4 linked regions of the Caenorhabditis elegans genome follow. The protein of the gene in region 1 purifies or fractionates together with the protein of each later gene. This does not show direct contact. Each region holds a gene or a part of one and is shown on either strand. Other genes may lie near its edges.

Region 1 (9,304 bases):
CCAGCAACTCCTCCAGGAGCAATTGATGGTGCAAGTACAGGATGTGGAGGTACTGCTCCGGGAGCCAATTGCTCTCCGGTTGCTCCTATCACCTGAAGCTTTTAAATAGAATTAGTAAGGAATTGAAGAATAAAGGAGAAAAAATAGTTAAATTTCAACTTTACAGTGTTGGAAAGTCTCAGTTCCGAAATAGTTTTTTTTGTAATTATATTTTTAATATTTTTAATTAGAAAAAATTTGAATACAATTTTATTTTCTATTTGAAAACAAAAAATAATTGTTAACCTTATTATACGACTGAAAGTAATTGGGCTTCTCCATCGTCTAATCCATTCGATATAATTCTGAAATTTGGAAATTGAACTATTGGAAACAAGAAAAAGCCAAAAAAGAAAATAATTTCAAGAAAACTGAAATTTAAATTCAAGAGGGAACAACAAGACGAAAAATTCAACAAAAGTGGAAAAAGAACGAAAATAGTGAGAGAGTGAAGAGACGTAAAAGAGATGCCAAAGACCACTGCCTGGGTCTCCACACTCTACCTACTATCTCTGATTTCTCTAAAACCTCTTCCTATCGGCCCTTCAAGTGTATGTTCTGATACGATTAGAGACAAGAGACGCAGAGATAAGAAAAAGAGATTATGTAAGAAATGGAGGGTAGAGAAAAATAGATGAACAGACCATGATTGGCCTTGAGGGAAGCCGGAAAATGGCCCGTAAAAAGATGGAACGGGATTGGGGTATAGCAGGCTAGGAATGTCGCGGCTTTTGAATTCGTTCAATATTTTAGAGTGGCAATGAATATTTATTTTTAAAATGTTTTAAGATTAAAAAAAAATAAAAGAAAATCCGAAAATTGTTCAGCATTTGAGAAAATTCATAAAATATACATCATAAGAGCTGGGTCAGTGCTGAAAATACAAGCTTCCTAAATCTCAATAATCCCTGCTACACGAGAATATAATCTTCTACAAATCTCCGTTCAATTAATCTCAATTTCCATTAGGCACGTGCTTGGTTTTTTCCAGTACCCTGGAGTTAATAGAGCTTTTTGAAATCAAAACTCTGATTTTAGTCAATTGAAATTATTACTTACAATTAAAATAAATTTTTACTCTTATGCATTTTGCTCTTATAAATTTTGTAATATGAAAAGTACCGTATCCAATACAGAATTTGAATTCAAAACAATATTAGTATCAAAAGACCGTATCATATCTAAAAGCAAAAAACACGAAAAACATGTGAGAGAATTAAAAAGAATGATGGCGGCAAAGAGAGTGAGGAAAAGAGGGGAAAAGCGAGAATTGATGTCATTTGTGAACTTTGAATCTCTACTCGTAAAACGGAATTTGATTCTTTATTGAGCTCGATACGTGGCAGGAGCAATTTAAACTTTCTTTCGAGTATAGTTTGCTTCCTTGTTAGATATACCCCTTGATTATAAAGAAAATTTCATATAAGTAAGAAAACTCAGATTTTGTGAAAAGAAAGAGTTAGCAGGAAAATAATCAAACTGTGACTTGGAACTACAGAGGACATTGTAAATTTGGAAACATTTTCTGAAAAGCAGAGTTTCGGAAATTTTTGAATTGAAAACCTTCACCAGATAGAATTTCTCGTGTTTTATATAACAGATTTTGCAGAAAACGTATTTATTCTTTCTTTTTCCAGTGAGTGTTTTAACACTTAGTACATGGAAATGCTATACGCATCAAAACCAGGAAATGAAGTAGGAACTGGAAAATGTTTCTTGCTCTCTAAACATTAAACATCAATCCTCCATTGGACCAGAATATAGAATTCGAAGATCAGAGATCACTTTTGCAATTTCTAGATTTTGGTCAAGAAAAGTGAAAGAACGGAAGACATCAGTGTTCAAACGAAGTGGGAAAGTAAATAAAAACAAAACAAAGACCAAATGATTGTAATGCTTCTGATGGGTTGAATAGAGAAACTATATTCTCATTTACTTTATAAAAAACAAATATCTTAGAATTTTGATAATGTTTCCTATTGTTTTCCTAAGCAAAAGCACAAACACAGAGCACACACAGCAGTGACGTCATTTTCGACACGAGTCACTCGCGGCACTAGAGAGACTCTAAAGATTAAAATAAATTTTCAGTAGTACGGTAAAACCCAAACGTGGCAATATAATATGAATAAAACCCAAAGTACGCATAATTTGAAAAGTGTGCGTGGGGTAATAGAGAGAATAGAGAAGCTGTCCTTTTTCTCTTGAAAAAGAGCAAGTCCTCTTTTCTACATCGTCCTTTTTCTTCATCTTCTTCCAGTTTGTCTATCTTTTCTGCGTCTCTTCACTCTCAACTCCCCCCACTTTGTCGACCACGGGGTATCCCCGTTGGTCTTGTGAAAGTGAGATAGTATTGTGAATCGAGATATCACTAGAGAAACTGAAAAGAACCCCACGCGAGGCACAGAGAAACTTCTCCGGACACTCTTTGCTTTTTATTGTCTCTAGCCGTTTCTCTGCGTCTCCAGGGTTCCGGTGTATTCTATGAGGTGTGTGCTGGCTCTATGCCAAGTCAAGGAATCGAAAAAGCTTTTGAATTCCAAATTTCTAGTAATTTATCATTCAAAAAGGTGAAAAGTAAATAAGGAAAGTTCAGAAAACCAAGAACAAAAATACAAGTAAACAATAAAAATATAAAAACCCTTTATTTTCGCATTAAATTTTCTCTCGGATCGATTCTTCCTCTACTTACTATAAAATAAAAATATGAATACAAAAAAGAATTAACACATAATAAAAGGCGAACCGATTTGTGATTGAAGAATCAAATCGAAAACAGAAAATCGAAGACGACGACGACAAAAATCTACGAAATCTACTGAAAAAAAACAGCTTGGAGCGATGAGAATAAGAGATGGATTTAGTGATGATGGTGCACATAATCCGGATCGTATGAATCCGAATCCAAATCCAGCGATGTCTCGTGAGATGTCAAATCATCATAGTATGCCTCTCGGAAGTAGTATTCATACCTGAACAATAGAAAAATGTTAATTCGAAAAAAGAATTTTTTATAAAATTGAAAGTTTAGCTATACGGATTTTTAAAAAGTACAGCTTTAAAAAAAATCTTATGCTGTTGCTTTTGAACTTTTTAAAATGCAAATAACATAAATAAGAATTCAAAGGTGGAGACTATTCGAATTTTTGCTTCAAATGGTAGAAAATAGACCGTAATGTCCGAATATCATATATTCATGATTCATTTATGTGGTAATTCAAAAATAATTTTTAACATTTTTGAAAATTGAAAAAATTTATAATTTTTTTGTTTTCGGTATTTTCGGTTCATTTTCTATTACTTAAAGCAAATTTTCAAATTGACTCTACTCCACCTTCAAGTTAAATTTCAAATATTGAAAACAACTTACCATGGTTCTGGAAGATGGTGTCCAGTGTGCCATGCATTGAGTCCTGCTTGATGATCACCATTCTTGGCAATATATCCATAGCCATATGGTGACTTGAGAACCTCTTTACGCATTACGTGAAGGAAGTGTCCAGTATCACGTGGATTTGTGTACAGCTCTCCAACTTCGTGTTTTGGAATTCCATCGAATGCAAGCATACGGGCATCGTATTTATTGGTGACACTAGAAGATATTATATATTATACAATGTGGATGAAACTTTTAAAATTCAATTAAAATACTTTCTCAATGTTATATCAGGGCTGTAGATTTTTACGATATTCGTAAATCGTTTTTTTCGTGGTTTTTACAAAAATCCATTTTTTGCATTTTTTTTTCAAAAAAAAAACCGAAAAATTCTGTTACCCTGTCGCTGACTGAAAAACACATACTTGTTTGTTTTTAATTTATGTCTTTCAGTATATCAAAATTAAAAATTGTGTTTTTTTGCTCTTTTTTTTGAATAAAGCGAAATACATTTTTTTTGCTAAAAACACAAAAAAAACCAAAAATCTTTTGCCTTGATGGGGACACAATTTCGCAGAAATCATTTTCTGTCCATGTTTGCAAAATTTAAAAATAAAAAAAAAACAAGTTTTGGCCAGTTTCAATTCCTAGAATGTTAAATTTCCTAAAAATTTTGATGGCTTTTTTGTTGGTATTTTCAATAAATTAATCGTTTCGTTTTATCAATGAAAATGTATGATCTCGAATATATTTCTCAAAAAAAAAACTCACTATTGTCTCCATCCATTCCATCCAACTGAATCAACAATTGTATTCCACTCTTCCATAACATCACCACTGTGCCATTCAAAGAAGTCCAAGTCAAGTCGTTCGATATCCTTTAAAAATTATGTTTTTTTTCTTTTAAGAATTTCGAACTTTTCCTTACCTCAACAACAGCATCCGTGTCTCCTGGTTTTGTCCAGTCATAGGCAAGAATCTTCGAGTGATTACGGTATTCACGAAGTGAATCCTTGTAAGACTCCTCAATTGTTTTTAAGTAACGCTCGTCAACTGTTGCAATTTCGTCTGTCTGAAAATTAATAAAATTTTGAATATCTTTATGAGAAATCTAGCTTACGTTTCCTCGTCTCTTGATATTTTCAAGGCATTTATTGGTTGGTGTATTCAAATAAACAACCAAATGAGGCCAGAAATGTAGTTGAGGAAGAGCATTTTTACGGACAAAGTAATAATGCTTGAAGTCTAGAAACAATTATTTTGAAAGAAAATTCATGAATACAATAAACGTACATTCATGTCCAATATAATTCTTATCTCTCATTGCATTGGCAAAAACGAAATCCGAATGTGGAGTACGTTCGAGCACAACTCCTTGACCGGTATTGAGAATATGAGCAAGTGCGTTGAGATATTGATCGAAACGGCAGTTGAAAATGCGATCTTGCATGGCAGCTGAGAGTTCACCACTTGGATTCTTATAGAACATGGAAATGTCTGGAAGACGGTAACGAGCTGGGAACTGGAATAATATTACATTTAAGAGTTAGGTTGAATTATTATTTACTTTATTATAATAATTGCGAAGATCATTTCCGTAGCGATCGACGAGAATATCGTCCATTCTAAATTCTGGGAAATGAACGAAGCCGAGTTGATCAGCAAGTTGTTTGGCTAAAGTTGTCTTTCCGGATCCAATATTTCCTTCAACAACGATAAGCTTGGAATTTTGATGGAAATGAGAACGAGTGTCGTCTTTTAATCCATCAATATAATTGAATCCATTGTGCTTATAGTCCCATGGTTCTGGATGTTCAGATGGAAGTCTTAGAAGACTTTTATGAACAACTCCTCTGACTTGATTTGAGAGTGCTCCTGATCTGGAGCAGGCCAGCAAACCGGTTGCCAGCCCTCCCAATTTGCTCATGGAACCCGGCATGATGGTCTTAACAAGGAACAAGATAATAAGATTAAATTGGAAAATGAACAAAATAAAATATTAGAATAGGTTTGAAAACCATTAGAAATAAATTATTCTACAGAAAATATTGCAATTGAAGCTTTATTAGAATCTGCCCTCGAATAGTTGAACTTCTGAGCAGAAAAAAGTCAATAACTTAAAAATATAAATTAGAAGATACCGTTCAGGTTTGAAAAAGTGTTTAGGAATACAAAATGATTTGAGAGGACGAGATAGAAAGCAGAAGGAAAAATCGGTAAATTTCAGATCGAAGGATACAAAACAAACATAAAAGCGAGGAAAATCCACAAGGCCTTTGGTTTCAGAATCAACGGCGATCACCATATCGACCTCCACCACCACCTCCGCTACTTCCACCACCGCTTCGATATCCACCACCGGATCCTCCACCTGTACTGTATCGGCTTCCTCCACGGTCACCTCCTCTATCACCTCCTCTATCACGATCACCTCCGTATCCACCACCACCACTTCGATCATTGAAACGATCACGGCCTCTGAAAATATTAATTAAAACAAGTGAAGAAAAATACAAATAAGATGTCGAAATCTTATAAAAACTAACCCTCCACCGAATCCGCCACCTCCACCGCGATTATCTCTAAATCCGCCCGATGATTCTCGTCGATCACGATCATTTCCTCCACCATTACGGTAAGAATCTTGACGTCTATCCCGACTACCACTTCTTTCTCTATCTCGATCCTCGTACCCACCTCCAAATCCAGACGCAATTTCACGTTCTTCAATGACTGATTTAGCTTCGCGAGTTTTACGAGTATCTCCTTTTCCACCGCCAAGTCTTCTAGGCAACCATGTCTTCTGAGTACGACCTCTTTCATAGTCGACAACTAGACGTTTACCATCAACTTTGATTCCGTCAGCTTTTTTGTAAGCGGCTGAAAATAATACTCGAATATTATGTTCAATAAGGAATAAGGTGAGAGAATACGGATTTGTGTGTCTACTCAATAAATATCTTACCTAACCTACCAAAAAAGCGCTCACAGGCCTCCATGTCATTCGCGGAATTGACTACTTACCCAACCACTTACCCGCGATTCAGAAAATGTGTTAGACTTCAAACTTACAGACAAAACTTACGGGAAAACTTACAAAAAGCGGCAAGAAACTTACAAAAATAATCCCAAGATGATTTTTTTGATGTTTGTGAGGAAAACTTACAAAGCGTGTACCTTACCCATTCAAAAAATAAAAAAATAAATCTGAATTCTTGGATTTTTTCCTAATCTAGTAGCCTAAATGAAATTCAAAGACCTAGTACTAAAAAAAGAGTTTATATCAGAAATTTTCAGCTTAACAAATTAATAAAGTTTTTAAATGCGATAATATGCCTAAAACCTTTTTAGCAAGCGTGCAATTTTAAATAATGTTTTTTTTCTTGGAAAGACTCGTTTCTTAAAATGCTAATTCCTTTTTTTTTTAATTTCTTGTTTTTTATTTGAGCTCACCAACAAACAAACCTATCAGAAATTAATCGATAGGAGAGTTGCGCGCTCTGCCATTCCCATTCATTTCCCAGGATTTCACAATGGCCGCGTGGCTGTAAAAATTACAAAAATAGGAGCGTGTTCCTTGAAAATTGGTTTTTAAAATAAAATTTCTGTTGTTTTTTTGAGCAAAAGGTTCAGCCAATGATTTTTTGTTTTATGACAAACAAACTGCAACCCACTATGCATCTCAGCCTTGTCACTGTATTCGATAAACGCGTAACCACGTGGTTTTCCTGCCTCGTCGTGGACCATTGTTAACTGGAAAAAACAATGAAAGCTTAACTTGGAAGAAACGAGACACTTACCTTTTTAATTTTACCATACGCTTCGAATTCTCGTCTCAACTTGCTTTCAGACGTTTCATAGTTCTGAAAATATAAACTAAAACACATTCTAACATTTAAAAAAACGTGCAATTCGTCCAACGAATAGAGTGCGATATGGATCCTCCGAAGCTCTTGGATTCTCAGCTGGATTCCACGTGGCGATTCCTTGTTCTACTTTATATGCTAACAATTCATCTTTTTGTCGTCTTTTTTCTTCTTTTGCTTCAGCTTTTGTTACTACTGGGATTTTTGCTGGAGTATCTTTCGGATCCTGAAAAAAAAATAGCTTCCAAAATAATAAAGTTACGTTCAAACCTCAAATAATTGAATATATTGAGCAACTCCAGTCATCGGAGCCCTTTTAGCATTTTTGTCCACTAGTAGGTCCTGGCATGGTGGAAGATATTGCACTGGTGGTCGTGCTTCGAAAAGCGCCAGAAGATTGGGAGGTAGAAATGCCGTCATGTCACCTGAAAATAATTTTTATTTATTATTTGAGTTTTGTAGGTACAAAGATTATCGAATAGAAGAGAGAAAATAGTATGGAATGGGAAGATGAAGAACAAAACAAAAGAAGAAAAAAAGTTGAAAAAATGTCTGAAAAAGAAAATAAAAAAGCGATCCTCGGTTTCAGATAGCTGTTCCACGTTCCAAATCGTCTTTGATATCTTCTGTGTACTTTCCATAGTACTTGTCCAGTTTCTTATTGAATTTCTTGTTTTTCTCATTGATGTAATCAATTGGCGCGTCAGGATCATAAAGTCTACGACGATGATATTGTTCTCGTCTTTTAACTTGGCCGTGAACATCTTTAGTGAGCTTATCCATTGCAGCAGTTGTCGGATAGTGATTTCCTGAAAACTCTTTGGTTTTTCTTTGAAATTATGAGTTTTGCTCCTTACCATGAATAAGTGTGTCAGCAGTTGGGTAAAACTGTTCCCCTCCAACGCATTCTCTCATCTTTTTGTAAGAATCAAGATCTGGATCAAGAGCAGCAGTCAGGCGAGTATGTTGACGAAGAGTCATATCTTCGTAAGAAGTAAATCCTTGATCTGGGTTCTTCTTTCTCTTTCTTTTTTGCTCAAGCTTCTCAGTAACATCTGCAGACATCTCTAAACTGCGAACACGTTCATAGTCCAATCCCTTGTCTTCTGCAGCTTTTCGATCTTGTAGCTCTTTAACCTGCCATTGATCTCTTTCCTTTTTTGCTTCGTGGTTTTTTGGAAGTTTGCTGCGACGATCTTCTTCAACGACCTACAATTTTAAATTATAATTGAAAATGTAAACGTTAAAACACTAACCTGTTCGTGATTCTCTTTTCTCGCTCTTTGGCGGAGTTTGTGAAGATCACGGAACCTCTGATTGAAATCCTTCATTTTTGATCCACTGGACGACGGCCCACTGCTGCTCGATTGTGATTCGGAAGACATCTAGGAAAAAGTGTTGAAGAGAAATCCAGAAAGTTGAGAAGAAAAGCTACATTGAAACGGAATACAGAATATTTTGAACATCAGAAAAAGAAGAACCGATATGATTTGAATTCATTTACAATCTATATTTTTTAAACCGATAGTTACATGTTCAAAACATATTAATACTATCCAGCTTTGCGAAACAAAGAAGGCTTTCTTAGAAATAAGCATGGTACTATCGATAAGGAGTTCAAAAATGGAAATAAAAACTTTATTTTCTAGTTGAAAATGCTGAGAATCGAGTCAAAATTGCGAAAATTAATCTGGGCGAGTAGTTCAACACAGCGCACTTGCACAATTTTCTTTTCTCTCCGCTGCGTAGCGGTCGCGTCGCGGTCGTCTAGTCTTGCGCTCGTCACACCGAACGCGTCAATATGTGACGTTTCGGGCCTTTTCTGCTCACTCTGGCGGTAATTTAAACATATTAAAAATATATTTTAATTCAAAAATATTTATAATAGACCATTTAAAAGTACTCAACATTATTCCAATTGTTCGTTCTTGTTGTTTTGGGCACTTTGAGTTTTTTCTTAAAATTTTAATTTAAATTTCAGCTGATGATGTTAATGAACAGTACTGAGATAGTTGACGACAAC
Region 2 (8,010 bases), on another chromosome or scaffold:
TTCTGTGTCACTGTGGAATTTTTCAGTAACGAAGAAATTGGCAATAAAATTTGAATAAAATTCTTTATTCTTCTTTCAAAAATAATCCATCACAATAACTTCTCCAGATTCCTTTTCCAATTTTATTGGAGCAGATGCACGTTTTGCTCTTTCAATATTCCCATGCTCCGGTGCTACTTCACTTTTACTGTAATTTTTAATTTTTCAAAAAAAAAACATTTAATTCTCATGTTTCTTACAAAGATCTCTTCAAAAATACAAAGAAACAGAAGACATTCAACCCAATGTGCACAGTAAGTAAACCTCCTAGAATTATTTCCAATGTTGGATCTGCAAAATATTTATTTTACGCATGTATTTCCAGTAAAAACTCACTTTTTAACATAAGTTCTGGCATTGGCATAGATCCTTCAATTGAATAAACGAATCCCAAAATAGTCAAAGAAGTCATTATAATTGTTATAGCCGAGAACACAGTCAGTATCGCAAAGATCACACGTGTCGACTTGAGAATAAGAACAGATGTCAGTAGGCCAGCACATATCTGAAAATCAAGTTTTGCTGCTCGCCTTCAGGCGTGCTTTCCTGCCTTGTGCCTACCGGTGCCTGCCCACCGCCTATTTTTGGAGGATTACTATTCATTTTCTTATTACAGTTGCTTTCATTTAAGCAGTAGGAACGCGTGTAGGCACAAGGCAGGTTTTTTTTATTTTAAAAAGTATCGACCAATCAGCTATTTTTGTGACGCCTCATGATTGGTCGCGGAACGTTGGTGGAACGAACCCATACTTTTCATAACTTACATAAGCCAGTCCAAAGCATTGAGTTACAATAGATGCGACCGATCCTGATCTGAAAGATTCCAAGTAAAAAAATAACAGTTTCATTGAAACTCACGCCAAGAAGATCGTAGTGAATAAGAGGAATATTCCAATGAAAATATTCCATCCAGAATAAACACATTCTGGAGCATTTCCCAGTTGATACGGCTCGGGATCCGAAGATTTTCGAAAAATCAGCTCGTCCTCATCATCAATGGTTGTCTTCTTGCTCTCCGTCAAACTTGAATTTGAATTGATTTTTATCGATTTTGTCGTGCTCATCGCTTCGAGGAAGAAACGAGAGTATGAGAACTTGTGATAAATTTTTTTGGATTTTTTAGAAGAAAAAATCCACGGTTCAAGAAGGGCGGTCAACACGTTTTTCAATGGTTTTAAAAACTTCCAGAAAAAAAAAACATTATTTCCTGTTGAAAACCAATTCAGCATTTACCAAATTCCAATTTCAACATCCACGCTGTATGTGAGCTTGCAGGGTGGAGCTCGCTTGCATTGTTGCTTTTTTCAAGTTTTTTCTTGAAGTCAGGAAGAAACTAGTCATTGGAAAAATATGAAAACAAGCCGAGCTCATTCCATCTCACCAAGCCCTAACAAAATCGCGCGGCTCCAAATTGGAATTCCACAAAAAGTATATTTTCTGAAATTTCTATCCCATGATATTTGTTATTTTGGTTCCATCAAAGTGATTCTGAGCAACCTTCATTTCTTCAATTTTCAACAAAAAACCCGATTTTCAATTCCTTTTATTGCCAACCAAAAAAACTCAATATAAAAAACCACATTAAAAAAGAGAAAATTAGACAATTCTACAATAATTCTACATAATTAACTCCTTATAATCGTTATACGACACAATTTTGCGGGTTTTCGGAATAAAAAATATCTTCCAAAGTGGCTCATCTTGACAGTTCATGTATTTTCTCCAACGAGCTTTGATTGTGAACCAAGTGAAAGGTTTACGAGATTCAGCGTCCGACTTTTGAAACTGGAAATTCTGAATTGGTTCAGATGTTGCCAATTTGATTACCATTTTCATCGCCATAGTTAATCCAAATGAAATGATTCCTACGTAGACACCAACAAATCCCCACATAATCCAATGAAGTGTTACGAAAAGGAAAAATGCGAATTTAACCATAGTGTCTTCGGCTGGAATTTGAGAAGTTAGAAAGGTTCAAATGCATCAGACATACTTCCTTGAGAACGTGTAATCAAGTAGTAATATCTATTAAAACAATATGGAGGCCAGCATTGATCATCCGGGATTGCAGTTAGTTCTTTACGAGTCTGAAGGACTAATAATTTACTAGTTTAAGGATAGGCAGGCACAAGGCAGGCACCAAACCAACCTCTATCCATTTCATCCAAAACGTTGTAGCCATCAAGAAAAAGAGGCCCGTTGCAATTTGAAGATAGAAAAGAAAAAGGAAGAAGTGGCTCTGATTGTGTGCTCCAACACATTGTCCAATATGAGGGCAATGATGATCCATACGGTAGATACATTTGTCACAAGCTTTACAATGAGATGTTGATGGACCTTTCCAATTGTTGCATTTGATACAAAATGAGTCACTGGGAGTCTGAAAAGTTTGATTTGAAATTTTAAGAAAAAAATCTCAAAAAGGCTCTACAATTTCTAGCTTATTGAGAAATGACTGTAAAACAAAGAACGTGTCGATTTACGTTCTTTGTGTGTACTCCTCGTGGAGAAATGTGTATTACAGTATTTGTCTCAAATGCTTGATTTCGGACGACCGTTTATGCTTATGACGTCATATCTTTGTTTTTGGAGGCTTACCCCTGGATTCACAACAGGTGTCAGAGTCCGGGCCTTGTAGTAGTGAAAAACGACACTGTAGTAAATGTAGATAAGGAGCACAAAACGGAACACGAAGAACGACATATTTTGGCATTCGCTGAAAATACACTTCTTTAACTATTGTTAAATAGAGTTTCAGCAAGTTTATCATGCCTGCCTGCCTAACGCCTACTTTCTTTTCCATTGGCGTGGACTTTTCGCGGTAGGCACTCATGTTGGTGCCAGAACCGACCTAGAGGCAGGCAGGAAGGCATTTCTTGCCTGAGTGGAAGATTGAAGGTTTCACTCACTTCCATTCAACTGGTATCATCTTGAAGATTACCACATATGTAACATTGCAGAGTGTGCCCACGAAAATCAGCAGACATAACTGAAAAACTATCATTTCTGCCTTTCTCTCTGGTTGTGCTTCCAATTATCAAAAAATCTCACACGTCCACCCCACAATGCGACGAGCTTCAATACATCAAATGGGTCGAATTTCGAGATATCGCCCAACGATTTTTCCACCAAAAAGTATACTGAAAAAGGGTGATCATCGATATTTAATATTTTTATTGTAATTTTAATTCTCTGCTTAAAGGCGCACAGATTTATTTGAGTGGGTCTAGTTGCGATCAAAAGTTTATGGTAACGCGTTAAATTCCATGCTACCGTAAAGTTTTCGCGGCAAGACCCATCCAAACAAGCTCATTTTAGAATGTTACGTCTCGCAACTGACCTATCCGATTGAAAATCCTACAAACATCCATAATGCAACGTGGAGGAGATAACTCCCGGAAGATCAGGGAATAAACGAAAACTTGAAAAATCGATTTTGAAAGGCCGCCAAAGGGCGTGGAAATAAATTTGAAAAGGGTTCACGTTTAACATTATTTTTATTTTAAATACTTCATTAGATACTTTCCATCAGACAATATACATTAATTATTATTTATTTCATTTCTTAAGCTCAATTATCTGCTCCCCGCACTGAAATCCGACTGGAACGCCGTCATCGTCAAATCGGAACCGGCGATACAGTTTATCCGTCAATTTGTCAGCTACCAGTGCTTTTCCACCAATCGGACATTTGTGATAAACACGGCCGCTTGAATTCATTGAAAGTGATGAGGGCTGAAATTTTAGAATACAGATCTGAAAAATCTGTGCTTCATCTTACTTGAAACGAATGGTAAATGGTTGATTGCCCGATTCGGAGCTCTTTTTCAGTGGAGTCGAGTTCCGTGTAAACAAGTGGAGTGTCGTCGCATCTCAGAAAGTTTCGCTCAATTCCACAAAGGCTTACCCACGGGAATGTATCCTGAAATTTCATATAATTTTTTTTCAGCTCCCTCCACGATTTTTTAATTGAGTATTTAAGCTCAATTCAATGGATGAAACTTTAATTAATTGCATTCGATAGGAATTGATCGAAAATCTAGAACACTTTCAGATTACCCAGAAACGAAATTTCAACATTTTTGAAGTGAAAAATACGGTACCTGGTCTCGACACGACAAATATTTGTTAAACGAGAAAAGGTGTGCGCCTTTAAAGATTACTGTAGATTAAAACTTAAGATTCTGTCGAATTATTTTATAGAAAGAATTGGAAACATCAATAAAAAAATCCGGCAGAAATCACAGTTTTTAATTACAGTACTCTTTAAAAGCGCACACCTTTTCTCATTCAACAAAAATTGTCGTGTCGAGACCGGCTACCGTATTTTTGTTGATAAATCGCAAATTTCGCGTTTTACCTCATATCTTCCCGTCTTGTTTTCCTTGATCTTTCTGTAGAAGAAATTAAGAAACTGAATATCTGAAATTTCGATTTGTTAACAGTTTTTCCTGTAAAATAAACCTTTATAAGCCGCTGTAAAATTCTTCATTCTCGAATCGTCCAGAAATAGGAAACCATTGTGGCTCACATAGTAAAAATATTCTCTGAAAACTCAAATTCAAAAAGAAACAATTAATTTAAAAATAAAACCTTATTTTTCCGTTATACTGCCCCTGTGTGTAGAGACTTCGTGCAAATGTCAGTATCATTTCCGAAACTTAAAAAAGTTAAATTTTGATTTAAATTAATTTGAAAAGAAAAGCTGACTGGTAATATTTCCGTTTCTCATAAATTCATATTCAAATCTTTATAAATCAATCAAACAATCTACATTTATTCACTTTCTGAATGGAATAAAAGAACGCAACATGAAAAAGAAAAAAAAGTTGTTACGACGGAATAAGAAAACTCAACACAATTCGTTCTAAAAAATTTCATTGAAAAAGAAAAGATTGACAGCGTAGAATTAGAAGAGACGGAAGTCGGACTTCTTTCCTTGATCCTTGTCGAATTCTGGGTCTTGTGAGACCTGAAAATATAAAATTTTAATTTTCGATCCAGGATTCTCTCGTAGCTTCTTTTTTAAAATTAAATCTTGAAAGAATATTTACCTTCTTGTAGTATTCCCAATCCTTGGACAATGGCTTGTCACCCTCGAGTGCTGACTTGCTCATTTGGAACTCATATGGTGGCTCATAGTTCTTCTTGTCTTGATAGAACATTCCCTTCTTCCAGAATGAATAGTCAAACTCTCCATTAGCAAGTCGTGCTTTATGATCAGCAAGCTTAGCTGCACGCTCATCCATAATCTCTGGATGACGTCGTTCCCAGATCATTCGATGCTTCTGCTTCATATAAGCATCACGAACATCGGATTCTCCTCCCAACTCTCCGTATTTCATGAAGAAATTCAACTCATTCTCTTCCATATCCTCAATAACCTTGGCACATGGTGAATGATCAGGATTGTTGTAAAGCATACACCGATCAACACGTTGGCGGAGGGTTTGCAGAATAAATCCATCGACCATTTTATCAAGACGGTACTGCTCATTGGCTTCGTAGAAGCAGGCCTTGTCGTTCACTCCGCATTCGTCGATTTCCGGAACACGTGTAAGTTGACGGTGATAGTAGGGTAGACGGTTCTTGTTGTTGAGTGGTTGCACAATAGTCTCTGAAAAGCTGACGAGTTAGTAGAATAGATTAAAATGGATTGTTTTGCCTAGTTGATTTATTATGTGGAACTGCAACTACTAACTGTACATCAGCTTGAGGTAGTCGAATAACTTTGGTTTTTTTCTAGTTTAAAATTATAATTTACAGCAATGATATGGGAATTAGAAATTAACCTTTACTTGCACCACAAGTTCCCAAATTTTTTGAATCTGGATAAAACCGTAGACAGTATCAATTACTTGGAATTAAAACAAATGGTGAAAGTAAATAAACTTGAACGAAATTTGTTTTCTGTCAATTCTTACATTTTGTAAATGGTTTTAAATCTAATTTCAAAGCTGCTTCTTCTTTAAATGATTCTCCAACTTGAGAATTTTAAAAATTACCTCTGAACCAAGTTGCTGGGGCGTCGAAAGCCTTATGGGCATAATAACGGAATCGTGGGTAGATGGATCCTCGTGAATCGATATCACGAACTTTCCAGTAAGCATCCCAAGATGCTTTATCGTCAGCTTGACGTTGCTCCACTAAGCCTTCACCCATACTGAATGTCGAAAATTTTCCATTGTGAATTGAGAATATTGAGTAATAAATATTAAAACAACGAAGAAACGTTGAAAATTGAAATATTACATAGAACAAGACGATAAATTAAATTTTTAAAAAGTTCAACAACAAAAGGAAAAAAAAATCAACAATAGCAGGAATTACACTGAAAAATTAAAAATTGAGATAAAGATTCTTAATCACTGACAGATCGTGTGTAATTATTCTGAACCAGGGTGATAAGCTCATCTTCGTCAGTGATAAACTCTGATTTATTGATAATATCGTGAATCTTGATAATATCATCAGAAGTCGAAGCACTAATCCAGATTCTTCCGTTCATTCCAACAGTGATTTCGAATTTGAAGAACTTGCCAACAGTTTGAAGAATTTTGCAAGATGGGTTGATTAGTCGACGACAATGATTCAAGGAGACCTATAATAATTTTTAAATTTTACAATAAATAGTAAATTTCGTGTCTAACTTTGAACATGAATCCTCCATTTAGCTGTCCCATTCCACGTGCTCGTTTCTCGTCATCCACACAGGTAAGCTCTGCTTCAGTTCTTGGAGTTGTGTCGAAAACTGTTGCATAAATAATATCTCCAGTTTTTAGATTCGGCCTATTCCTTTTAGTAGCACCTTCGAAGTTAGTAAAGTTGATCATGGCGTATTCGGCAGTTCCTATGTCCAAACGAAAGAAATCACCAGTTTTTGAAGTGACAATAGCGATTACTCGGTCTCCTTCCTGTGGTATATATCTGAATTTAAGAAAAATTGTGATTTTAAATGTTGTTCGTGATCATTCTTACCTTTTGCTGTGAACATTTAACCAGACTTTTCCATCATCGTTGTGGAAAGCTCCAGGTTGAGTGGCAATTCTCGTTTGGCCACGTACACTAATTCCGTAGCCAATGATTGAGGAATCGCTTGAAGAAGGTTCATTGATAACGTCGCCAGGGAGATATACGGTCATTTCTGAAAATTGAATACTCAATGATGAACAAAATAACGTTTTAAAAAGTAGTGGCGAATAGAAAAACCAAATTTAAATACCGCAGGAGGAATAACGTAATAAGCTACGTTAATAAAGTGTTTTCAATGAGTATATTAACTGAAAATTGTAAATTTTTGCAATAAAATTAATCAAAAAGTGATAATATTTCGCAAAATAAACGGAAAAACTAGAAAAATAAGAAATAAAAATGGAGCGGCTGTTGAAAGTCTGCGACTTGACGTGACGGTGTTTGCGGTGTTGTATACCGTACCCATTGATTTTTATTTGATATGTTGGAAATTGCAATTAATATTAATTGTCAAGGACTAAAAGAAAAATAACACTGAAAACATAAATGCGTGGCAATTTTTTAAAATAAATATCGACACGTACACCGAGAAAAATTTAGTTTCAAATACAGTTCAACTGAGTTTTTAGTGGTCAAACTGGTTTGTAAATGGTATGTAATATAGTTAGGTTTTTTGAAGTTAAAGTTTTCCCATTCAGCTAGTTGTTGTTCTTTCCGGTATTATTGCCACGTGTCTGGCCGTGAAGCAGACAGATTTTTCCGTGCATATCAAAGGACAACTTGTGTGTGATGATGTCCCTGCTGCCAACATGCCAATGGACATTTTTTCTGAAGCACAAATGTGTAAGAGAGTTTGAAATCGTTCAACTGAATCTAAAATCTTTACTCTCAGTCAGATACGAAGATTTTATGGATCGATGGACAAACGAGAAAGGAGAATTTGATTTCAAAGCCTATGTGACAACTGATGCTTATATGATTACTCCTTATGTCGTTATC
Region 3 (7,598 bases), on another chromosome or scaffold:
ACATGTTCTAGACGCCCACCCAGAATCGGAATTTCTCAATGTAGACATAGCAAAACGCTATGAGTGTGTCCACTGTTTGAGAACTCTTCCTGTGTCGAAATCACCATGTGAACATATTTCTGAACACCACGATAAAACCCACGTGGAAATTGAATTTCGTGACTTATGGTAGGAAAATCACATTGAAGAAATGCTTTTAAAAATTCGATTCAAATTTAGGTCCAATGAGCAAGTGTCAACTTTCAATTCAGTTATGGAAAAATGCTTCTTGCGTCATCTTCCAGTTCCCAGAAGCCGTAGAATTCGAAACGGAAACACCTGGTATCTCTCCGAAAAGGCCTCGTACAGAATTGTTCGAGGAGGTGAAATTATCCATATCAGCACTGTGGCTGATAAAAGCAAAACAGATGTGAGTTGTTGAAAAAAGGTTTTTGTAAATATTTCAAAAACATAGAAATAAGCTTTTGGAGAAAAAATTAATAGAAACTGGAAGAAGTCGTGAAGCCTATCAGTAGAATGAAATGTTTCAGAATGACACAATGTAAGATCATTAGATTTTTCGTGGAAATTGCTTTAGATTGGTGTGAAAATGATAAACATAACAGACGTATAGACAAATAGGGTGAATGACGTTAGAACCCACCCTTCCATTTTCGATAACGAAAAAGGATAGTTAGAGGTTGGCACTTCGAGACACTATTGTCATCAAAAACACATACACACACCGGGACGCAGAACTGACCCGTGTTCGCCTCTTGCCGTGCGATGGAGCATGTTTGCTGTTGTGTGGTAGGGACGGCACTGGGCGCCGGCGACAAATGAAAGACGTCGGATGGCCGAAAAATTGCGCAGGCAAAGCTGATGAGTGTTGACGGGCTTGATGGATGCTGTAAAAATGTTAGAATGAACAACAGGCGAAACAGCGATTTTTGAGTCAAAAATACGGTACCGAGTTTCGACACGAAAAATTTCATTTTAGGAGTACTGTAACTTCAATCTCTCGTTTTTCTCATTGTTTTCCAATAAAATTGATGTGTTTGTTCAAAAAATAGGTTTAAAACAGGATGAAAATGTTACAGAATCGAGATTTTGAAACTACAGTAATCTTTAAAGGGGCAGACCTTGTATTTAAGAAAAATTTGTCGTGTCGAGACCGGGTACCGTATTTTTGGCTCCTGTGCTGATCTTAACGGCTAGGATGTTATTATTCTGACCATGCTATTGCTGATATCTAGATGACCAGATTTCACAATATTCAGTAGTATAGTTGTGCACAGTTGATCAAGTGACACTTATCATTTAATATTATTGTTTCCACGAATTCAGAGTACTGAATTTATCAGCTGTCAGTCTTATCAACTCACATGACCAAAATCTGCAAAATCTGCTTTTTTTTGCAATTACTTCTAAGCTATGTAAAATTACAAAATTTCCTAGAAAACGGGAAATTAATTACCTTTACTGCAACGGACAGCCTGTCGAACTGCTAATCTTCCCAGCATTCTGAAATCTGGAACGACAGAATTACAGATTTTTAGTATATAATTTTGTAAAATCAATGTTATTTTTAGAATGGAAAAGAAAGCAAGCAAAGTCGTCTGGATAATTCTGAACGCGGAAAACCTACACGCTCGATGGATTCAGACTATGATATTTTTGATAATCAGGATGAAACTGATTCTGAAGAAGGTGCTCGAAGCGAGTCTATAGATACAGGAAATAAAGGTAAATGTCATTATTTAGATTAGAATTTTCAGCTTTCTTTTGGATGGTTTTGAAATATTATCGCTCTCAGCATTATTTTGTTTTTTTCCAAATTTTTGTAGGAGTAGTAAATATAGTAAACGTTTGAAAAGAAATTTTTATTGATGATTATAATTTTCGGTGTTTTTAAAACTTTTTTTCAATACAATTTCTTCCAGAAAGGTTAGGTTTTCTAAAAAAGAATTTCTAAATTAAAACTACTCATTTCCAGAATACTCTTATTTAGTGTAGGTTTTTCAATTAATGAAATTCAATTTAACTCCAATCATCACTATCCCAATCGTTTAAAATTGTGAAAATAGTTTCAGAAAGTGAACCTGGCAGTCTTCAGAGCGTCATCGATCTAGAATAGTCTTATCTTAAATGTTCCCCTGTTTTTTTTTCACCATACCCGTTGTACTCTTTTGTTTCGATAATTGTTCTGCATTTAATGAACCTGTTTCTCAAAAAAAATTGTATAGCGACAGCTGAACACGGTAAATATAATTCAACATTGAGCACTTCTTGAAGTTCATCAAAAAATTTACGATTTTCATGTAGAAATATACACAACATACAAATGCCCAAAACATGGAAATAGAAGGCAACTCGGGTAAATGTTTTTGAATAATGAAAAAAATATCAAATAAATATGGTATAAACTAATTAGAAAAATGAGAATTTTCAAAAATTTACTCGTCGTGTGGGAGTGGAACAACTTCTGTAGATGGTGTTGGGTGTCCACCAATGCCAAAGTAACGGAAGGCAGCCAACGTGAGTTCAAGTCCGAAGAAACAGGCAGCGTTTGCAGGGAAAGCACGGAGCATTACTGGCCAGAATCCCTGAAATTTATACAAATTGTAGCTAGAAATCAGGTAAAGTATATATGTATGTAAATGTGTCGAGAAATGACGAAAAATTCACTTGCATCGTCCCAATCGTTTAAAAAAAATCACCTTGAACAGAGCTCTAGGACCCTCTTCGCGAAGAACCTCTCTCAAAACTCCACGGATTCCATCTGGATACTTTCCTTCAGGGGCTGTTTGTAATCGAGATTTGAGAACATCAGCTGGAATACACACTCCCCAATTGGCAATACCAGCAAGTCCTCCAGCCATCAATGTTGCTCCTGGTGACAATGTTCTTTGAGCTCCTTCTCCAGAGAATTTCTTTTTTAGATATTCATATACTGAAAGATAAGCGGCTGAAGCTGGGATGTCTCTGAGCAGAGTGGCACCAGTTCCTCTGTAGATTGATGAAATTCCTCCTTGTTTATATAGTTTTTTGACAACATCAAGTGGACCATCGTAATGAACTCCAGAACCAGCAGATCCAGCTTGCTGAACTTGAAGAAGACACTTGATTCGTTCACCAGGAACCATCACAATTGTTGTGAAGACTCCAGCAAGAGCTCCAGCATTAGCGTTTTGGATGAATGTCATCTCCTGGCCTGAAATGCAAAATGGTAAGATTAATTCTCATATTTTCAATTTATTTGTTTGCCCATGATGATTTAGTACTAACTTGGATCAGTTTGCTGCAGCCATTTTCCAACTGCACATCCTCCGAAAAAAACTGCAAAAAGTGGAGAAACACCAACAAGTGGAGCTGCCATTCCTTTGTAGAGGGCAAAAAATCCTTCTTTGGAAACTGTTCGTTTGACACAATCAAGAGCTCCGGTAAATTGTGGCTTCTCCCCTGGTTTTGGCATTGGCATAGTTTGAATTCGGACTTTGACAGTATCGAATGGATGTCCGACGATTACGGTACATGATCCACCGACTCCTCCTGCGATGAAATTCAGAAGAACGTCCGACATTTCAATGCGTCTGAAAAATAAAATGTAAAAACTTCGATCTGATGGCTGAAATTTTCCGATATTAAGTAAGGTTAATGTAGAAATTAAGTGGTTTTTTGATTTAAGAAAAATACCTGAATCCTGTTATTTAAAAAAAGGGTGATAATATTTAGTTTTGTTCAAGTTAATACATTTCTGAATTTAAGAAAACCCTGTCAGGCCTTGTAAGAAATGTTTAACTTATCTTAACTTATCTTATCAAAGAAAATTGCACTTTAAACGCTAAATTTCGAATATAAAATTTAAAATTGGATTTTTAGGAGTTTTTAAAGAACAGTAAAGCTTTTTTATCCTATTTAGATCGATAGTGGGAACGAATGTTTACGAAGATATCAACAACAAAAGGAAGATAAAAAAATAAGTGAAGAAAATGTTTGTGTGTCCGACCACGTCGTTGCTGTGAGGGTTCGCCACAAATAACAGCCAATGAACACAGAGATTGCTGGACTACTCTCCGAGAAAGAGAAGATAACGAAACGTTATTGAGATAGTACAGAAACCGGGGAGACGCAGATAGCATTCGTTTTTTGCACTTTGCCCTTCAGGAAGACTACATCGTGGCTTATTTGTAGTCTTGGGAGAAAATAAATGCATAAATGTGGTTTGATCAAAATATCGTTCAGGTAAAATGACTAAATTAAGAGCACAAAAAATGAAATCGCAGAATAATTATGATTTAGTATGCAAACAGCAATCACAGATGCAAAGGGAATACAGTGTTGAAAATGTTGAAAAATCTTCAGCGAAATTATCATAGTTTTTCTTTCACTTCCTGCGAGAGAACCTGTTCGTAGGTTGGAGGTGGCGGCAGGTTGCCTGAAGACGTCGGGAGTGTTGGTGGAGCAGATGAAGATGGACCTGGTGGTGGAGCACAGTAGGGAGGGGCGAACGACGGGGTTGAGCTGTTGCCATGCTGAAAGTGGGTATGGTAAAGTTGAAATTTAAAAATGTGTGTTACCGAGTAGAAGTAATACGATCCTGGAGCAGGGGGAATGTTCCTGTCTGGGACTCGGTTTGAGAAGTCTGGTCCGTCGAGGAATCCCTCACAGAAGTTGTCGTAAGCCCCAGGCAGATCGGTTCTTGCAAATGCGACTGTAGTAGTTGGAACCGATTGGAGTTGTTGGCCAGCGGAGGTGAAGTAGAACTCGTTTTGTTGAACAAGCGGACCTTGTGGATATGTTGGCATCGGATAGTGGGCAACTTGCGGAGGAGGTGGAACGGCCTAAAAAAATCAAATTATTCATGATTTAAAGTTAAGTAAACTTACACTTTGCTTCGGATAGCTTGGTGCTTCATTCATTCCACTTTTCTTATCGGTTTTCTTGCTTCCAAAAAGTGGCATTTTTCACTTCTCGTCGATCTCAGAGCAAAAAAAAAGAAATGAAAAGAGCAGCAGCGTGAGAAATGAATCAAGATCGATGAAAGCGCGCTCTCTGCTGTCCACAGATGAAAATGCCTAGCAACGACTTACAAACTCGCTCACTGATCAGTTTTCAGTGCACACACTAATCAGAATAGCACTGAAAAACTTATTCGCGTTTAAGTTGAAACAAGTGGAAGAGAAACAAGTGAAGTCTCGTCCTACGGCCGGGATACACATAAATTTATGTTGAAAAAGGAAAAAAGAGCAGAGAAACAAAGAACAGAGAAAACAGCATTGAGAATAAACAGAACAGACAACGAAAGAGTACTCAGAATTGAAAACCAACTGAATCAACAAGGAAATAATAATACTGCACAACTTAATTGGCCAGCACTACTTTTAGATCTACAATAACCTGATTTTCTGAATCGAAAAAACTGGCGAACATATGTCTTCCAGGGCAAGAATTGCCATGATCAGTGAATAAATCTCTTGTTTCTTGCTCAACATTCAAATTGACTCCAATTTGGCGTCCATTGGCGACTTGTGGTATACATCTTTTCACTGCACTCATTTGAACATCTGTAGAGTTGGTAAATGTGAGTTCATAGTTTACAACTCGATCTTGGTGTTCGCTGGCGTTGAAGAAGAATGTGTTCACTATGTAGTCGATTTGTTTTTTCAATTGAACTTTCTGCAATGAGAAAAAAAACCAATTAGAAAGACAAAAGAGGAACTTACCACTGATGAACCAACTTTCAATGGTACAATTCTTTTCAATATGATCGTTTGCATTGGGAATAACACCAAGAAATCTCTGCCAGCAGTATAGACGTTCCCCTCGTTGAACATGGGATCAAAAAGACGACTTCCTGAGCAATCAACGATCAATTTGCAATTCAAAATAATTTCTTCGTCTCCAAGACACACTGGTTCGCATCTATCAAACAAGGGACAGTTGAAAAGAGTGGTAGAAGTGAAAACATCCTCGTCATCCCATTCAATTCTTGCAGCATCTTCAATAGAAGAACATGCTTCTGTTCTTAATCGAAGATTCAATACTTTTGGTTGCCAAGAGAGCAGCATCATACGGAAGAGTTCAAATGGGATGAAATATGACACTGGCATCACTCTTTCCACAAGCTCTTCGCTGTATGCCATCAGAATATCCGGTAAAACCATTGTTAATTTGTCAACTTTTGTTGTTCCAAACTTCATCTTTATCTGATCCAGGAACTTTTTTTCGTCATCAGAACATGAATAGTCAAGTTTATGGGCAGTATTCTCTAGAAAGCTGAAATAATAAGATGTAAATAATATATTTAATAATAATAGCTTACAATGAGGCAATAGCTAATTCCTGAAAATGACCTTCCTTTGGCGCAAGATCTAGCAATGTAATCAGTGGAACAATTGGAGGTTGGTCGCATTGACAATTATTTTGAATCAACTTTTCGATTCCTGCTTTCATCCATAATAATGGATTCAAAATCTTCCTGCAATTGATCGGTGGGAGCCCAAATGAGTCAGAGTCGAATGGAAAAATTTCTGCACTTTTTACATTCAGATGGAACGATTTAATAAGATTTTCGAGATGGAGTATGACAGAGACTGTAGATGTTCGAATATTGTTGATAAAAATCGGTGTTTTGTTGAGATCAGTTTCTGTCAGTGTTTCCAATTCTGCCCATTTCGACTCATCAAACGGTAGAGCAAGCGTGATTCGAATGTGCTCAAAATATGAATTGACTTTCGATAGGAAAACTTCGCTGAGTCTGTCGGAACGAGATTTCAAATATTCCTGAATGATTTGAAAGTTTATCATGTAAAAAAATCTCTAGACTTACTTGCCATTGAATTAAGATCCCGATAGTCTCTTCAAAGGTTCCACTGCTTGTGAAAAGAGGAACAATTATTTTGTCATTTAATTGCTCGTCGCTGACTTCTTCAAAAAATACATCATCCTTGTCTATTTTCCTTTCGACAAAGTCAATCTTGAGTCTTTTCTGAAGTTTTGACGGCCACTCCATTTTAATAGTAGAGATCACTTACCCATTGAGTTTGTGTGGTGACTGAGTTCTTCGATTTTTTGCCCATTGCAAAAATATAAATAATAAAAGGAATAAGTATCCCCGAAAGCTTTTCAAAGTTAAATTAAAGTTAAAAAAAATAGAAAAAAAATAATGTTTAACAATAAGTACGCAAACACCGTGAAGAAACATCGGAACTGACGCGCAATGTTGGTAATGGTGTTTTTTAAAATAACTTTTTTATTTTCTAATTAGTAAATTAATTCTATCGTAAATATTGATCATTCATGATTACAAACATTCTTGAGACCTGTTAACATTGTTATTTCTAAAATTCCAGGATTTTCATCATATGCTTAGTCTACCCGTGGCCGCCAGATTCGTGACTCTTTCTTGGGCGGTGTTTTACATCCTCGCTGTCCTTTTCGGCGCTCCGTTTTTCTCTGATATAATTGCAACCGCTGTACTTGCTGTATGAGAAGATTAAGCACATGAAAATAATTTATTTTTCCTGTTTTCAGACAGCTCTAACGGCCGTCTCTGCTCTGCCTGCCGTCTTCCTATTCGATTCAGAAGAGCGAGCGGTTGAAGTGATCCTACAATT
Region 4 (7,147 bases), 4.4 Mb from region 1:
GGATTTTTTCGCTTCCAAATCCGATTTAATTTCCGCCATTAAATTATCGATTTGTGCTCCTTCAGATTTCGATAAACATTCTTCAGTTTGCACTTTTCGTTCTTCATTTCTTTGTTCCAGTTTTGCAATTAATCGATCTTTTCGATCCAATAAAATTTGTTCCGAAGATGCTTCCATTATGCTGAAATCTGGCGTTTTTTTGCGCGATTTTTGTGGCAAAAAACTGGTCTCGCCACGACAATTTTGAGTTTTTTTTTAAATTTTTGATCGATTTTTCATAGTTTTTTTTTCAGATTTTATAGAAATTTATGTGTTTTTATTCTAGTTTCGTTAAAAAAATATGCAAAAATTCTCATAAAATGTGAGAAAAACTATAAAAAATCAATAAAAACCACCGGAACAAAAGTTTAAAACTACAGTACTTTTTAAAGGCGCATCCCTCTTCGCATTTAACACAAATTGTCGCGTCGAGACCCAGGATATAGTATAGTATTTTTGCCCCAAAATTGCTTCTGGGTTAATTAGTTATATTCAAAACGGCTCAAAAGACCAGATGGATGCTGAAAAATGAAAAAAATGAGAATTTTCCGGGAAAAAAATCAATAATTCTTCATTTAATTTACAATAATGAACTAAAAAGAGACTTCGAGAGAATTGTTCAGTCGTATCTGGTGTACTGGGTTCTGCGTGGATACCATGGAAGAAGAACTTGAGAGAATGAACGTCCACTGCCTGAAAAATAAATAGATTCCATGAATTTTTGATGATTTTCTTGCATTTTTCACTAGAAAATCTTCCGTTTTCCCAGAAATTTTGAATTTTTTAGCCAGAATTCCCTTTTTTTCGCACTAATTTCCAAAATAATTACTTAGAATTGCGAAAAAAAAACTGAATTCTAGTCCAAAATTCAAGTTTTCTGTGATGTGTCGATTTACGCAGCTCGTGTACTCCTCGAGGAGAAGATTAAGCTGAAATGCGCCATTTTCACTATTTTTTTTCTGAATTTAACATAAAAATCGGTGATTTATAGTATTTTACATGAACAATGACGAATTTACTGTTAAAAAATACGAAAAAACCGATAATTTGTAGTTTTCCATGGTGTTTTAGGCTAAAATCGGTTTTTCACGCCAATTTTTGCTATTTTTAAGATAAAAATCATTGATTTGGGTGTTTGAATGCAAAAATTGGTCCGAAATCGAGCATTTTAGCCAAATCTTCTCCTTTTCAGCGTTTTTTTTTCGGGGAAAATGTATATATTTTCTGCATTTATCACAGAAAATCGCGAAAAATACGGTATTCTCTGGGGGGAAAAAGCCGAAATCTTTCAAATTTGATCGAATTCAGCCGGGTTTTTTTTTCGAAATTGCAGTAAAATCTGAAAATCGATTTTTCAGCAAATTCCAAAACTCACGATCATTAAAATGGTCGAAATCCTCTGGATGAAGCTTCATGTAGTGCTCGATGACTGCGTCTCTCGTCTGATAGTGTCTCTCTCGAAGTGCTCCGGCAGCGTATCCGGCGGCGGTGGCGGCTCCGATGAGCAAAAGCCGTGGAACAATTGCGTAGTAGTACGGCTTCTTGTTCCATCGATTTTGCAAATAAACCGAAGCCAGCGAGATTCCGAGCATTGCACTGGCACCCTTCAATGGGTAGCTCCATGTGAATGGATCGGCCAGGTGACGAGCTCTGTGTCCTGCGCGAATAAAGGTCTCGCGGCGCTCGATTTCCTTCTCGCTGACGCGAGTTGAGTCAGCCATGGTTTCCACTGAGAAAATTATTTATTTGGGGGAAATATGATTTTTAAAAAAAATGAGATATTTCAAGCGTCTCATAACGCCATAAGAAATAAAAGTGTTTAAAATATTTTACAAGTGACACTTTTTATCGAATATCAGCACTAATAAAACGCCTGTTCTCGAATACAATCGAACAATCTCATTTAGCGATCGAATTTAGCTGGGAAACGTCCCTCGGAAAGAAGCTCGTCCCATCTCTCGGTCCAGAATCCGGGGCAGAAGTCCTTGTAGACATTTTGGAAGAACTTGCACGGCTTGTAGTCCTGTCCCATGAGCTCATTGCAACGATGGAAATCGACGTAGTAGGCGAAGCATTGACGTTGCTTACGGACCTGAAAACTTGTACATTTTTATTATTAATTAATATATAATAAATTTTAAATAAAGTTACCAACCTGTGGGAATCTGGCGTCGTATGGAGCAGCCCAGAGAAGATCCTTCTTCACAGACTCGTGGGTCTCCTTCTTGTACCAGTCTGGCGAGTCTGGATGACGGAGAGCATCGGAGAACTTCTCCTGTAAATTTTTATCGATAAAAATGAAGAAAAACGCTAAAAATTCACCTTGTATTGCTGGAGTCTCTCGTAAGTGGTTGGGGGAACCTCAACTTCGACAGGCATTACTGAAATTGAATATAATTGAAATTTAAACACGGGCGGTTATTTTCAAAGCTCAGAAATCCGTGAAAACCGAATTAAACAATATTTAAAATCAATAAAAATTTTTCACTAAAGACGCTGCGCGAGCCACACACTCCTATACACCTCTCACGCACAAAACGCTCCACAATGGGGTTTTGCGTTGGAGCGCACTTGCTGCATTATTTTTTTACATAACAAAGTTCTAGAAATCAAAACAAATAGATTTTTTTCCAGAAAAATGGCTGAAAACTCGTATAAACCGCCGGAAAAGATGATTAAAAATGTGTTCGACCTGAATCCGTGGTACTTTTCCAAGGTAGAACAGAAATTTTATCGATTTGAAGGATTATGAATGGAAATTTGCAGGCTTACGAGGAGTACCTGGCTTTCTTGCATCGTTTGAATGATTCTGTAGTTGGAGTTCATACAACTGCAGACATGAGATGCACAGACTTGGTTATCAGCTTTATCGACATGCTGGATAAGCTGGAGGTTCGAGAAATTACGGAAAATTACGAAAAACCAGATTTAAAAAAATAAAAAATGGATTTTTTTCAGAAATGGGCTGAGGAAATTCCTCTGGAAGATGTTTCCGAGCAAAGATTTGGCAATAAAGCTTACAGAAAGTTTTATGAGAAGCTTTGCAAGGTTTTTAGCTCAAAAATGTATTTAAAAAGATTTTAAAAATTCCAGGAATCCCCAGATCTCCTAGCCAGCGTTCTTCCGGAAAACGTCCACGATGCTCTAGTCGAACTGGTTCCATATTTCACAGAATCCTTCGGAAACGCCACTCGAATCGATTACGGCTCGGGACACGAGGCGAATTTCCTAATTTTGCTGTTTTGCCTGCAAAAGTTGGGCGTTTTCACAGAAAATGATGACAAAGTGCTCGTTCTTCGCATTTTTAACAAGTATTTGAGAGTGTGCCGTCATCTGCAGACCAGATTCAAGATGGAGCCGGCTGGAAGTCGTGGAGTTCATGCGATTGACGATTTTCAGTTCGCGCCGTTCATTTTTGGAAGCGCTCAGCTTATTGGTAATATGTTGGAGCAACTAGAAGTCTTGAAATTCAGGAAAATAGCTGAATTTTCCATTAAAAACTCAAAAATTCTCAAGAAACCACAATTATTAAGTCGTTTTCCGAAGAAAAACCGACTTATTTTCACAGATTGTCGGAAAATTCTATCTAAAATGTCTTTTTTCACAGTATTTGTTCAAAAAACGTTCATTTTTCAAGGATTTTTCATTCGAAATCATGCATTTTTCCGTTTTTTCGTTGAAAATCATCAAATTTCACGATTTTTGTCGAAAAATCACAAATTTTTGCGATTTTTTTTAAATAAAAAATCAACAATTTTCCCGATTTTTCATTAAAAAATCATCACATTTTTGCGATTTTTGCCAAAAAATCATAAATTTTGGCAATTTTCCTTTAAAAATCATAAGTTTTCACAATTTTTCATTGAAAAATCCTCAATTTCTCCGTTAAAAATCATCAATTTTCGCGATTTTCCTATTAAAAATCCGGGAAAAATCGTTTAAAATCTTCAATCTACAACATTTCCTCGTAGGAAAACTTCAAAAAAAGCTAGTTTTCACTAAATTTCCTGTGAAACTTAAAAAAGGCACCGAAAATGACAAAAAAAAATTTTTCTACAATTTTTCTAGAAAACCCCGCTTAAAAGCATATTTCTGTGAAAATTTCAGAAAAAAAATTATAAAATTTTACTAGAAAATCACCTAAAAATCTAGTTTTCTACCAATAAATTACAAAAAAAAAAACTTTTGAATTTCCAAAGCTTATATAGGCCTGAAATATGTTGAAAAATGCCAAAAAATAGCCAAAAATCCGCTCCAAAATCTTAAATTGTTTCGATTTTCAGGTTCAAAAAGTATCGTGCCGGACAGTTACCTAAAAAAGAATATTGTTGAGACTCACGCCCACACAAGTCTTTTCCTGGACTGCGTAAACTTTATCAATCAAACAAAAACCGGCCCTTTCCACGAACATTCAAATCAACTTTGGAATATCTCAGCAGTTCCACACTGGAAAAAAGTCAATAGTGGAATGTTTAAAATGTATGAAGGAGAAGTTTTAAAGAAGTTTCCAGTTGTTCAGCACATGATGTTCGGCTCTTTATTCTCATTTGATCGATCGGAGCATCCAAGAGAATCTATGGAAGATGCTCCGTCACAGGATCCGATGCCTCCAAGAGCTCCGGCTCAGCATGGAATGTTCGCTTTTAAGGTTAATTCGGAGAAGAAAATGGTAAAAATATCGACAATTATAGAGATTTTAAAGCGAAATTTTCAATTTTTCACTGGAAAAATTGATTTTTTTGAAAAATAAATGGAAAAAATCGAGAAGAAGTGGTGATTTTTTTGGCAGAAAAACCAATTTTCACTGAAAACGCACTAAACCGCTGAATTTTCACCTTCAAACAGAAAATTCTTTTAAAACTGATTTTTGTCAGAAAAAAACGTTTTGTATGGAAAATTACGATTTTTTGCTGGAAGAATTGAGAAATGACCAAATTTTTCAACAAAAGCTATTATAATCGCCTTAAATTTCGAGTTTTCCCGTAGAAAACTTACAAAAAGTGTATATTAAAAGTGTATATAAACCAATGAAACCCAAGATTTTTGTTTCTTTTTCTAAAAATTAGTAGAAAAATTAGGAAAAAAAATCAATTTGTTATGACCCTTTTTCTGAAAATTTGCGTTAATTCTGAAAAAACCACTTTTTTTACAAAAATTTTTTATGGTCGGTCAAAATATCGAAGAAAAAAAAGCCAAATTTTGCTAAAATCTGAAATTTCGCACACTTTTCTTTGTCACAGCCGCTGGATTTTAATTTTTCTGAAATTATCAACCTTTAATCCTTATTTTGGTGATTTATCTCGCGGAAATTCGTTGATCGAGACAACTTTTAGGCCGATAGGCACCCAAAAATGATCAAAATGAGATAAATCACCAAAATAAGGATTAAAGGGTGATAATTTCAGAAAAATTAAAATCCAGCGGCTGTGACAAAGAAAAGTGTGCGAAATTTCAGATTTTAGCAAAATTTGGCTTTTTTTTCTTCGATATTTTGACCGACCATAAAAAATTTTTGTAAAAAAAGTGGTTTTTTCAGAATTAACGCAAATTTTCAGAAAGAGGGTGATAAAAAATTGATTTTTCCATCATTTTTCTCACAAACTCCCCCTGAAAAATCAAATATTATTTCAGATCCCATCCGCCGCCAACACTTCAACCGTCCATTCGTCATCTGTCGTCGAATCTGGAGACTTGCGACGTCTTCACAGTGAGAAACATCCCAACGAGCACTGCCCACCACCAATGGCCGATGCATGATCTCTACTATATTAAAATATTTATTCATTTTCCGTGAAAATCATGACTGTATATCTACATTTGTGCATCAATAAATTGTCTGTGTAAAGCGCTAACACGATCGATTATAAACGATTCGATCTCCAGCTCGGGGGCTCCCGGAGCAAGATTAATCTCCTCTCCTTGCTCAATATTCTTTCTGACGAGAGTTACACGTTGCTTGCGAGTTGATAGCATATTCGCGATGACGAGTTGATGGCCGTACTTGGAGAGAGCAGCTTTTGCCTTTGGAATCAGCTTTGTTTCGTCCGTTTCTAGCTGGAAATTTACGAATTAAATTGAAATTTAGCGGGGGGAAATGGGCATTTTCAACTAATTTTTTGATTAAAAATTGAGAAAAAGCACGAAAAATACAGTAGAAATTGAATTTATGTACTTTTTCTTCCAAAAAAAAAGAGAAAAAACCGTGAAAAAAAAGTACATTGGACATTGAAATATATTGAAATATAGTTTTTTTTTCTAAAATTGAAAAAAAAAACCGATTTTTTTAAAACACCTTTTGCCATTTTTCAATAATTTTTTAGTTAAAAATTGAAAAAAAAATCATATTAAATTACAGTAACCCTTTAAAGGCGCAGGCCTTCTTTTAAAAAGTTTCTGCGGTCGTGCCGATACCCGCCAAAGGAATTTTTGCATTTTTTCCTGGGGTTTTCGTTTTATTTTTCATTTTCACTTCAAATTTCAAAAATACTGTTAAATTTCAACCAATTTCTTGCGGTTTCTTTAGGTTTTCGTCCTTTTTAAACAATTTTTTGCTAAAAAGTGGAAAAAAAAGCTACAGTAACCCTTTAAAGGCGCACACCTTTTTTCAAAAAGTGTCTGTGGTCGTGCCAAGACCCGTCAATATAATTTTTGCATTTTTTCGGGATTTTTTTCGATTAAAAGTGGCAAAAATATCCAATTCCAAGTGGTTTACGGGAGAGAAAACCAAAATTTTCGATAAAATCGCATTTTTTGGACATTTTTGCACAAAAAAATCGGTGAAAATAGCAAATTTCGATCAAAAATCGCAAGAACAAACTTTAAACGAGACGATAAACGCATTCGGGATGAAGCAGGTGACAACTTTTTGAATAACTTTCGGAGCAACGCTGAGCTCCAGGCTCAGCTCGGTGTTGCTGGCGATTTTGTGAGTTGGCAGCTCGGTGACGACAAAATCTGAAACCGCAGCGGCCAAATAAGCCATTGCACGGGATCCCAGAGGATTTAGATGAATGCAAATTTGCTCGAGACGTGACATATACTGATCGAAGGTCTTGAACGGAATGTACAGAATTTTCTCCTCGTACTTGAACTTGTCCCGCAGAATTTG

The links.
Region 2: the proteins of nuo-4 (region 1) and ndub-10 fractionate together in Caenorhabditis elegans (co-fractionation; one large-scale study listed by BioGRID). This does not show direct contact.
Region 3: the proteins of nuo-4 (region 1) and dif-1 fractionate together in Caenorhabditis elegans (co-fractionation; one large-scale study listed by BioGRID). This does not show direct contact.
Region 4: the proteins of nuo-4 (region 1) and cox-6B fractionate together in Caenorhabditis elegans (co-fractionation; one large-scale study listed by BioGRID). This does not show direct contact.

What each region holds. Positions count from the first base shown.
Region 1 is NC_003281.10:7,153,450-7,162,753, forward strand, and holds nuo-4 (NADH dehydrogenase [ubiquinone] 1 alpha subcomplex subunit 10, mitochondrial), read right to left. Parts: upstream 5,361-9,304; 5' UTR 5,355-5,360; coding exon 4,983-5,354; intron 4,938-4,982; coding exon 4,709-4,937; intron 4,661-4,708; coding exon 4,536-4,660; intron 4,488-4,535; coding exon 4,344-4,487; intron 4,294-4,343; coding exon 4,187-4,293; intron 3,632-4,186; coding exon 3,410-3,631; intron 3,012-3,409; coding exon 2,900-3,011; 3' UTR 2,577-2,899; downstream 1-2,576. Other genes in the region: ogt-1 (UDP-N-acetylglucosamine--peptide N-acetylglucosaminyltransferase), read right to left, coding at 1-92, 286-321; rnp-7 (U1 small nuclear ribonucleoprotein 70 kDa), read right to left, coding at 5,704-5,893, 5,962-6,295, 7,090-7,168, 7,216-7,278, 7,325-7,507, 7,552-7,701; Pre-mRNA-splicing factor syf-2, read right to left, coding at 7,867-8,090, 8,139-8,490, 8,538-8,666.
Region 2 is NC_003279.8:10,517,552-10,525,561, reverse strand, and holds ndub-10 (NADH dehydrogenase [ubiquinone] 1 beta subcomplex subunit 10), read right to left. Parts: upstream 6,203-8,010; 5' UTR 6,202-6,202; coding exon 6,045-6,201; intron 5,657-6,044; coding exon 5,094-5,656; intron 5,012-5,093; coding exon 4,949-5,011; 3' UTR 4,801-4,948; downstream 1-4,800. Other genes in the region: F59C6.3 (uncharacterized protein), read right to left, coding at 76-187, 240-330, 376-544, 804-852, 898-1,103; dhhc-12 (Palmitoyltransferase), read right to left, coding at 1,657-1,824, 1,867-1,988, 2,033-2,126, 2,189-2,419, 2,638-2,755, 2,949-3,028, 3,091-3,179, 3,380-3,410; UPF0598 protein F59C6.12, read right to left, coding at 3,598-3,774, 3,821-3,961, 4,400-4,461, 4,504-4,586, 4,633-4,691; exos-3 (Exosome complex component RRP40), read right to left, coding at 6,401-6,640, 6,690-6,966, 7,018-7,181; nlp-4 (Transthyretin-like family protein), read left to right, coding at 7,660-7,662, 7,710-7,854, 7,904-8,010.
Region 3 is NC_003282.8:7,549,303-7,556,900, forward strand, and holds dif-1 (Protein dif-1), read right to left. Parts: upstream 3,573-7,598; 5' UTR 3,563-3,572; coding exon 3,268-3,562; intron 3,194-3,267; coding exon 2,700-3,193; intron 2,586-2,699; coding exon 2,436-2,585; 3' UTR 2,355-2,435; downstream 1-2,354. Other genes in the region: pam-1 (Puromycin-sensitive aminopeptidase), read right to left, coding at 743-887, 1,457-1,502; oef-1 (C2H2-type domain-containing protein), read left to right, coding at 1-168, 220-409, 1,572-1,725, 2,067-2,116; F49E8.6 (Early nodulin-75-like), read right to left, coding at 4,353-4,514, 4,560-4,823, 4,869-4,943; F49E8.7 (BACK domain-containing protein), read right to left, coding at 5,344-5,658, 5,706-6,258, 6,305-6,765, 6,812-6,970, 7,017-7,061; F49E8.8 (Phosphatidylinositol-glycan biosynthesis class F protein), read left to right, coding at 7,347-7,466, 7,516-7,598. UniProt on the Caenorhabditis elegans protein: Seems to play a role in the maintenance of tissue differentiation in the developing embryo, but not for its initiation.
Region 4 is NC_003281.10:2,781,475-2,788,621, reverse strand, and holds cox-6B (Cytochrome oxidase c subunit VIb), read right to left. Parts: upstream 2,421-7,147; 5' UTR 2,419-2,420; coding exon 2,362-2,418; intron 2,315-2,361; coding exon 2,195-2,314; intron 2,132-2,194; coding exon 1,943-2,131; 3' UTR 1,868-1,942; downstream 1-1,867. Other genes in the region: tbcc-1 (C-CAP/cofactor C-like domain-containing protein), read right to left, coding at 1-177; nduc-2 (NADH dehydrogenase [ubiquinone] 1 subunit C2), read right to left, coding at 659-732, 1,415-1,760; Y71H2AM.20 (Serine/threonine-protein phosphatase 2A activator), read left to right, coding at 2,678-2,755, 2,806-2,931, 2,998-3,087, 3,133-3,475, 4,323-4,687, 5,671-5,796; Y71H2AM.6 (DNA/pantothenate metabolism flavoprotein C-terminal domain-containing protein), read right to left, coding at 5,851-6,093, 6,857-7,147.